Linked DNA regions of Xenopus tropicalis. The protein of the gene in region 1 interacts with the protein of each later gene in a pairwise test. Links are inferred from orthologs where the notes say so. Each region holds a gene or a part of one and is shown in the gene's direction. Other genes may lie near its edges. The genes, in order: mkrn2 and rack1.

Region 1 (3,315 bases):
GGCTCATCCCGATCCTGCACTCCGGCCCGGCTGCGCCGCTGACCCCCCAGTCAGTGAGTTGGAGGCCAAACCCCATTCGTACCTGGAAGCCATCTGCACCGGACTGGATGAGACCCCAATCCCCAGCGCCTATCCTGATGCCCCCCAGCAGTTGTGCCCTTTTGCCCAGGCCGGTGGCTGTCACTATGGCGAGAGCTGCCCCTATATCCATGGCAACGTGTGCGAGATCTGCGGCCTCCAGGTCCTGCATCCGTACGACCAGGAGCAGAGGGGGCACCACGAGAAGGTGAGTGGCGGTTTGTTGTGGGGCACGGGGGGGGGGGGGGGGTTGGGGTTGGCACGGGTGCCTCATCTGCCTCTCTCCCGCCAGCTGTGCATGGCCAACTTCGAGCGGGACATGGAGAGAGCGTTTGCCTTCCAGGCCAGTGAGGGCAAGGTGTGCAGCATCTGCATGGAGCGCGTCTACGACAAACAGTCGCCCTCCGAGCGGCGCTTCGGCATCCTCTCCAACTGCCACCACACCTACTGCCTGGCATGTATCCGCCAGTGGAGATGTGCCCGCCAGTTCGAGAATCCTGTCATCAAGTGAGTGCTGCCCTCACAGGTAGGTAGGTAGGTGTGGCCACGGCTGGGGGGCTGGTGCTCCACTGGCACCCAGTGAGGGCAGGGGTCAGTTAGAGAGGCTCCTCAGAATCCTGGGAATGAAAGGGTACACAAAGGGTTAAATGTGATTTCTCTCTCACAGTGACAGTTCCCCTTTAAATCAACAGCAGGAGAGCTGGCACTGTGTGGGGCACGGGGCTAATTCTGACCCGGGGGGGGGGGGGGGGGCTGGTGCTCCACTGGCACCCAGTGAGGGCACAGCTTCGTTAGAGAAGCTTCTCAGAATCCTGGAAATGAGGGGTACACAAAGGGTTAAATGTGATTTCTCTCTCACAGTGACAGTTCCCCTTTAAATCAGCAGGAGGAGAGCTGGCACTGTGTGGGGCACGGGGCAAATTCTGACCGGGGGGGGCTGGTGCTCCACTGGCACCCAGTGAGGGCACAGCTCCGTTAGAGAAGCTTCTCAGAATCCTGGGAATGAGGGGTACACAAAGGGTTAAATGTGATTTCTCTCTCACAGTGACAGTTCCCCTTTAAATCAGCAGGAGGAGAGCTGGCACTGTGTGGGGCACGGGGCTAATTCTGACCCGGGGGGGGGGGGGCTGGTGCTCCACTGGCACCCAGTGAGGGCACAGCTCCGTTAGAGAAGCTTCTCAGAATCCTGGGAATGAGGGGTACACAAAGGGTTAAATGTGATTTCTCTCTCACAGTGACAGTTCCCCTTTAAATCAGCAGGAGGAGAGCTGGCACTGTGTGGGGCACAGGGGCAAATCCTGACCCGGAGAAGGGGGTGGAGCCTGTGGGCCCTCAGGTTGGGGGGGTAGGAGGGGTGTGCCCCCCCCCCGTGCCCGGCTCACTGACTCCTGTATTGCAGGTCGTGCCCAGAGTGCCGCGTCATCTCCGAGTTCGTCATCCCCAGCGCCTATTGGGTCGAAGACCAAAGCAAGAAGTTTGAGCTGATTGAGGCCTTTAAGCAGGGAATGGGGTGAGTGGCCCCCCCACAAACACACATTGTGCCCACTCTGCCCCTCTGTGGTATTTAGGGCCTTCCTGTGTCTCTGGGGGCTGATGCCCCCCCAGCTGTGCCAGGCTGACCCCCAGTATTCAGCCCACCCTATCGCCACACTGACTTGGCACACATTCCCCCCGCCCCTCCCCTCCTGCAGCAGTGTCTTGGTGCTGCCATAGTGCTGGGGGGTCATTGAATGAGGCTCAGGTCCCAGAGAACCCCCCCCCTCACATTGTATAGGAATAACCGGAGGACCCCCCATCCCTTCTGTTCCAGGAAAAAAGCCTGTAAATACTTTGATCAGGGGCGGGGAACGTGCCCATTTGGGGGCAAATGCCTTTACTTACACGCCTACCCTGATGGGACGAGGGCAGAACCTGAGAAACCACGGAAGCAGCTTGGGTCCGAAGGCACCGTGAGGGTAAGAGGCGCTGTGTGGGGGTACCGAACCTTCCTGTGGGGGGTATAGCATTGGCTGCCTGGGGAGGGGGTGGGGTTACCCTGTGTATAGCATTGGCTGCCTGGGGAGGGGGTGGGGTTACCCTGTGTATAGCATTGGCTGCCTGGGGAGGGGGTGGGGTTACCCTGTGTATAGCATTGGCTGGGGGGTGGGGTTACCCTGTATATAGCATTGGTTGGGGGGTGGGGTTACCCTGTATATAGCATTGGCTGGGGGGTGGGGTTACCCTGTGTATAGCATTGGCTGCCTGGGGAGGGGGTGGGGTTACCCTGTGTATAGCATTAGCTGCCTGGGGGAGGAGCCATCCATAAGACATCCTGTTGCCTCCTTGCAGTTTCTCAATTCGGTGCGGCTGTGGGACTTCATTGAGGAGCGGGAGCAGCGGAACCTCCCTGATGCAGAGGATGAGGTGGCGGAACTGGGGGAGCTCTTTATGCACCTGTCCGGAGTCGGTGAGGAACCCCCCGCAGCCTCTAACTGAGCCCCCCCGGCCGGAATCATTAGTGACCCGTTTGCACAACAATAAACCTGATGTCTGGGACTGTCTCTTGTTCTGTCTGTCTGTACAGAGGGGCCCCATGAGGTGGGGGGGGGTCCCTCACCCTCTGTCCTACTGCAAATACATTGGTTCTCCCCCCCCCCACATTCAGTCTCAGCTGCAACCGTATGGGCCAACACTGGTACCCACCCTTCTGCCTTACCCTTGCCTTCATGTCAGCTCTGGGGCCCACTGCCTCATGGGAAGTGTCATGTGATCTGCATTGGATCTTAATGTTACTGCCCTGGGGTGGGGGCTATTATACTCAAACACTAGATTGAGGATCCCCATTTCTCTTTATAAAGATCCCCTTTCCTCCCCACCCCCAATGTATCACTCATTCCCCCTCTCTGGGTAGGGAACCCCATAACCTGACTGCCCTTACAGTAAGGAACCCCTTCCTATGCTGATGGTGAGATCTCCTTTCCTCCCCACCCCCAATGTATCACTCATTCCCCCTCTCTGGGTAGGGAACCCCATAACCTGACTGCCCTTACAGTAAGGAACCCCTTCCTATGCTGATGGTGAGATCCCCTTTCCTCCCCACCCCCAATGTATCACTCATTCCCCCTCTCTTGGTAAGGAATCCCATAACCTGACTGCCCTTACAGTAAGGAACCCCTTCCTATGCTGATGGTGAGATCCCCTTTCCTCCCCACCCCCAATGTATCACTCATTCCCCCTCTCTTGGTAGGGAATCCCATA
Region 2 (4,416 bases), on another chromosome or scaffold:
ACCATAAAAAATAATGACATATTGCAGTTGTCCTAGAATGTCATTGTCTGTATCATATTATTCCTCCACGTATCCTTGAATAATGTTTAAATATTACCCTACAACTCCAATTTAACATCTCCAGAGTTTATCTTTTCCTGGAATTCCTGGTGATTGCCCAACAAAGGCATTTTTTTCATTTTAGATTTTACATTGTCTTGAAATTTAAGAGGTATGTTACAATTAGTAATGTGCAGCATGGGCCGCCCTACTATACCCCCAGAATGAATACTTAACCAACAGATAGTTTATATAATTTTAAGTGACCTAGTAATCTCACCAAAATGGAATATATATATATATCAGTAAATATTGCCCAGCTCTAACCGTAACAGGAAGTAGTGTGGGAGTTAAAGACAGAACCCTGTCTATTCATTGGCTGATGGGGCCTAGCATGTATGTGTGCCTTGGCTTGTTTGTGTGCACTGTGAATCCTATGATCCCAGGGGGTGGCCCTTAATTCTTAAAATGGCAATTTTCTATTTATGATTACGCAATAGCACAAACTACTAAAAATGTCTATTTTTATGAAAATGGTTTATTTAGATGAAGCAGGGTTTTACGTATGAGCTTGCTTATGCAATATATTTTTGTAGAGACCTACATTGTTGGGGGCTATAGTTCTCCTTTAATGGTGGTTTCAATCCCAGTTTACAGTTTGGTTCAATCAAAAATAGTGAGAACTTTGCCATAGGCTGCGTGTGGCTTAAAGAGCAGAATTTTTTTTTTTTTATAAGGAAATTGTTCAGTGCAGGAGATACTGCAGTGTCCCTGCCCTAGTTCAGGTGGGGGAGTAAGGAGCAGGGCGCAAGGTGTGGACTATAATGCCAAAAGGTACCCCTACAAACAGAGATAACTCTATAAAGGAGATTCCCCAGTGGTGAAAGAGACCCAGTGGGGCACTGACTAATATAATACATGTAAAGCATGTTTTGAAGCACTTTTAATGTTTCTAATGTTTTATTTCCTGTTTATGACAAAAAAAAACTACTTATGCCTGCCGCCCAGTATCCTCATGATAGTTACGTTTTAAACAACAATATATCCAAGATGTGCGTGTTCCACACTTACGGCAGCTAACATTCCACAACCAATATGGCGCCAGCACACAGTCATATAAGCATGGGAACCCTCTCACGTGTGCTACAATCAGAACGCAAACTAGCCTGCGTACGGTCAGCCTATCCCCGCGATTTCTCTATTTGACAGGGAAAGTAGTCACCAGTTGATTTAATAGCCAATTCTGTTCTAGCGCTTATACCTATGCTTGGAATTCACGTTGTCATTCATATTTTCTTTTTTTGTCTTGTTTTAAAAGATTTTAAAGTAGCGCGATTTTTTAGCCTAAGTTGCACTGTACGACATTCTGCAACTCGCTGCCATGTTGAAACTCGTTTCTGGTGATGTAAACAAGTAATGCATCCGGGTAAAGGCGTCCTGACGCAAGGCGGCGCAGCGCGCTTACGTCAGGACGCCGCTTTGTATAAAAGGCGAGGCGAGGCCTAGTTCAGCCTCTCTTCGGTCGCTTTAGGCCCGGTGTCTACCATCTGTCTCCATCCTTTGCCGGTGGAGCGGTTTCGGACTCATCGCAGCCATGACTGAGCAAATGACACTTCGGGGGACCCTAAAGGGCCATAATGGCTGGGTCACGCAAATCGCGACTACCCCACAATTCCCGGACATGATTCTCAGCTCTTCCAGAGGTGAGATGCATGAGACGCCTACTGTAGCCTATCGATCCACGCAAGTTTATATGCATTGCGGTATCCGGGACCCCGTTTATCGTTAGAACAAGAGCATGAATGCTTACACGTTGCTTTTTTCAGCCCTGGTAAATGTGATTGCTGTAACTACTTAGTGTCGCTGTGTGATATGTTACTGTATCGGGGCTAAAATGGCTCCTCATTCATTATGCGTCATTGGAAGTCCTAACTATAATGAAGCTTTTCTTTATCTGTCGTTTTGATTAGCAAGGGAAAGATGGTGGTAGATTTTGCGGGCTAACTTACCTTTTAATTATGGTGTGAGCGATATATGATGTATAGTGGCAGCTATTGTTTGCTAGAACTTTGTTCCTTAGCCCTTGGTACTGAAGAATTTGCAGGCTGACAATGCCATAGAGTTGTATGAGCAGTGGTGGAAGTGTTTTTTCTTTGCACATCTCATGTCTTCATTTTTCTTGCATACTAGATAACCTCATTCTTCTGGCAGTTTGGGTTGTGCAAAGGAAAAACATCTTCACCTGCTTACAGACATAAAATGAGACACCGTAGACCAATGACAAGGTATGGCATGGCTTCGCTGTGATGGCATGGTTTATTTTGGGAGGGTTACCCCTGTGTGGAACTGCCTTGTTGGAGGTTTACTGCATAGAAGTTGAGGTTACCACTTATTTAAATCAGCAATAGTGTTCTTATGTCCTTTGACTTTTTTTTTTTTTTTTTTTTCCTCTCTGCACAGATAAGACTGTCATCATGTGGAAGCTGACTCGTGATGAAACAAACTATGGGGTTCCACAACGTGCTCTCCGGGGTCACTCCCACTTTGTCAGTGATGTGGTTATCTCTTCAGATGGGCAGTTCGCTCTCTCAGGATCCTGGGATGGAACACTCAGACTGTGGGATCTTACAACGTGAGTACACTTATCCTTGTTCCATTACCTGGCCTGTTAAATGGCTGCTTTTCAGAATGTTCAGCAAAAGTTACTGATCAGCAGCAGGGAATTAGACATGGTTTCAGTACTACAGAATTTGACTTATTACTTGGATAGAAGGAATGACTGGACTAACTTTAGCATTAAGAATCATTTGAGTCCACTTACTGTCAGACCAGAATATCCCTGCAGGGGAAGCATATGACAAAGGACCAGTTAAATAGTAACCTAGGTAGAGGGAAGCTATGAATCTGTCCCTCCCCCTGCAGGGTGGCACAGAAAGGAGTGTTCTGAGGGGAATGGATACTGTCATTTTGTCATCGTGTCAAATATCCCTCTGCAGTGGCACCACCACACGCCGGTTTGTAGGACACACCAAAGATGTCCTGAGTGTCGCTTTCTCTGCTGACAACCGGCAAATTGTGTCTGGATCCCGTGACAAAACAATCAAGCTGTGGAACACTTTAGGCGTTTGTAAATACACTGTGCAGGTATGTATGAGCGTTATAACTATATTTTAGTTCTGTTGGTCCACGTGATTAGAACAATTGTATTCTGAGTGTCTAATATAGGCACACTAATTTCAGGATGACACTCCTGCAATTATGAAGGGACCAAATAAACAGTCATTCTAGGTCTTTTGGCAGGCTGTTTACTAATGAAGCTGTCTTTCTTAGGAGGAATCACATACTGAATGGGTGTCCTGTGTCCGGTTCTCCCCTAACAGCAGTAATCCCATCATTGTATCCTGCGGCTGGGACAAGATGGTGAAGGTGAGTATTTTGGATGCCTCCAGTCTTAATACGGGTTCAGAGTTTTTTTTTTTTTTTTTTTTTTTTTTTTAAATGCATACTTGTTTGGTAAGTAAAGTGTTAAGCAGCTTTAAAGCGTTTTCACTCCCCCTTTAAATAGTGCACTACTGACCCCTCTTAAACAAGTACTAAGAACTAAGCCCTGAAAATAAGTGGCTAGAGATGCCCACTTTTATATACTGAATGTTCAGGTCTTCTGCAGTTGTCACGGGAACTCCCCATCTTGGATTTTATTAGTGTCGGTGACACTCGTGCTCAGTGTGCAGTTGAGATGCTAAGTCTAGGGGTTGTCGCAAATTTTCTAGCCTGTCAATAGTTCTAAGCTCGGGAAACAGAACAGAACAGAACATGTGCAGTGAATCATCAGAAAAGATGGGAAGCTACTGGGGCACATTACTTCTAAAGGGCTATGATTTCCTAGGGCTGTTACAAAAGCGCAAAACACATAATGTAAAAATAATTATGCCCTACTTCTGTAGTTAATCTTGCAGCTCTGCTTTCAGCCCCCATACATGGGCCTACCAGACACAGCATTTGAGTGATGAATGAATATTGTAGTGGCAGTACATGTGTGGCTTTTTTTTCTATTCAGTGTCGACACTGAACAAATTAGACAAATTGCAGAGTTGCTGCTTCCCTTCTGGCTGACTGGAAATTGGCCATGAGGACTGCTGATCCTTGATCTACCAGAATCATGGAATTATTTATCTTCCCCCCCCCCCCCCCCCCATCCTTTTGTATTGGCTATATAGGCACACAAAGTAGGCCCATATGGTCAAAATTGGCCAAACTACCCTACCAAGTCATGGCCAGTATCCTCTTGCACCTTTTTAAGAATACCATATGGTACAGGTTGTTTACTATATGAAATCTTTCTCTCCATAGTTTAACATCTGTGGATATGTACATAGT

Evidence for each region.
Region 2: the proteins of mkrn2 (region 1) and rack1 interact in binary tests that used the Homo sapiens proteins (3 or more experiments, as listed by UniProt). The two-hybrid records come from large-scale screens. The link is inferred for Xenopus tropicalis from reciprocal best matches to the Homo sapiens genes MKRN2 and RACK1.

Annotation. Positions count from the first base shown.
Region 1 is NC_030680.2:153,474,673-153,477,987, reverse strand, and holds the end of mkrn2 (probable E3 ubiquitin-protein ligase makorin-2), read left to right. Parts: coding exon 1-286; intron 287-370; coding exon 371-585; intron 586-1,477; coding exon 1,478-1,588; intron 1,589-1,888; coding exon 1,889-2,033; intron 2,034-2,406; coding exon 2,407-2,553; 3' UTR 2,554-2,613; downstream 2,614-3,315. UniProt on the Homo sapiens protein: E3 ubiquitin ligase catalyzing the covalent attachment of ubiquitin moieties onto substrate proteins.
Region 2 is NC_030684.2:71,557,554-71,561,969, reverse strand, and holds the start of rack1 (receptor of activated protein C kinase 1), read left to right. Parts: upstream 1-1,564; 5' UTR 1,565-1,633; coding exon 1,634-1,742; exon of another isoform or gene 1,743-1,870; intron 1,871-2,229; exon of another isoform or gene 2,230-2,324; intron 2,325-2,499; coding exon 2,500-2,671; intron 2,672-3,035; coding exon 3,036-3,183; intron 3,184-3,369; coding exon 3,370-3,465; intron 3,466-4,416. UniProt on the Homo sapiens protein: Scaffolding protein involved in the recruitment, assembly and/or regulation of a variety of signaling molecules. Interacts with a wide variety of proteins and plays a role in many cellular processes.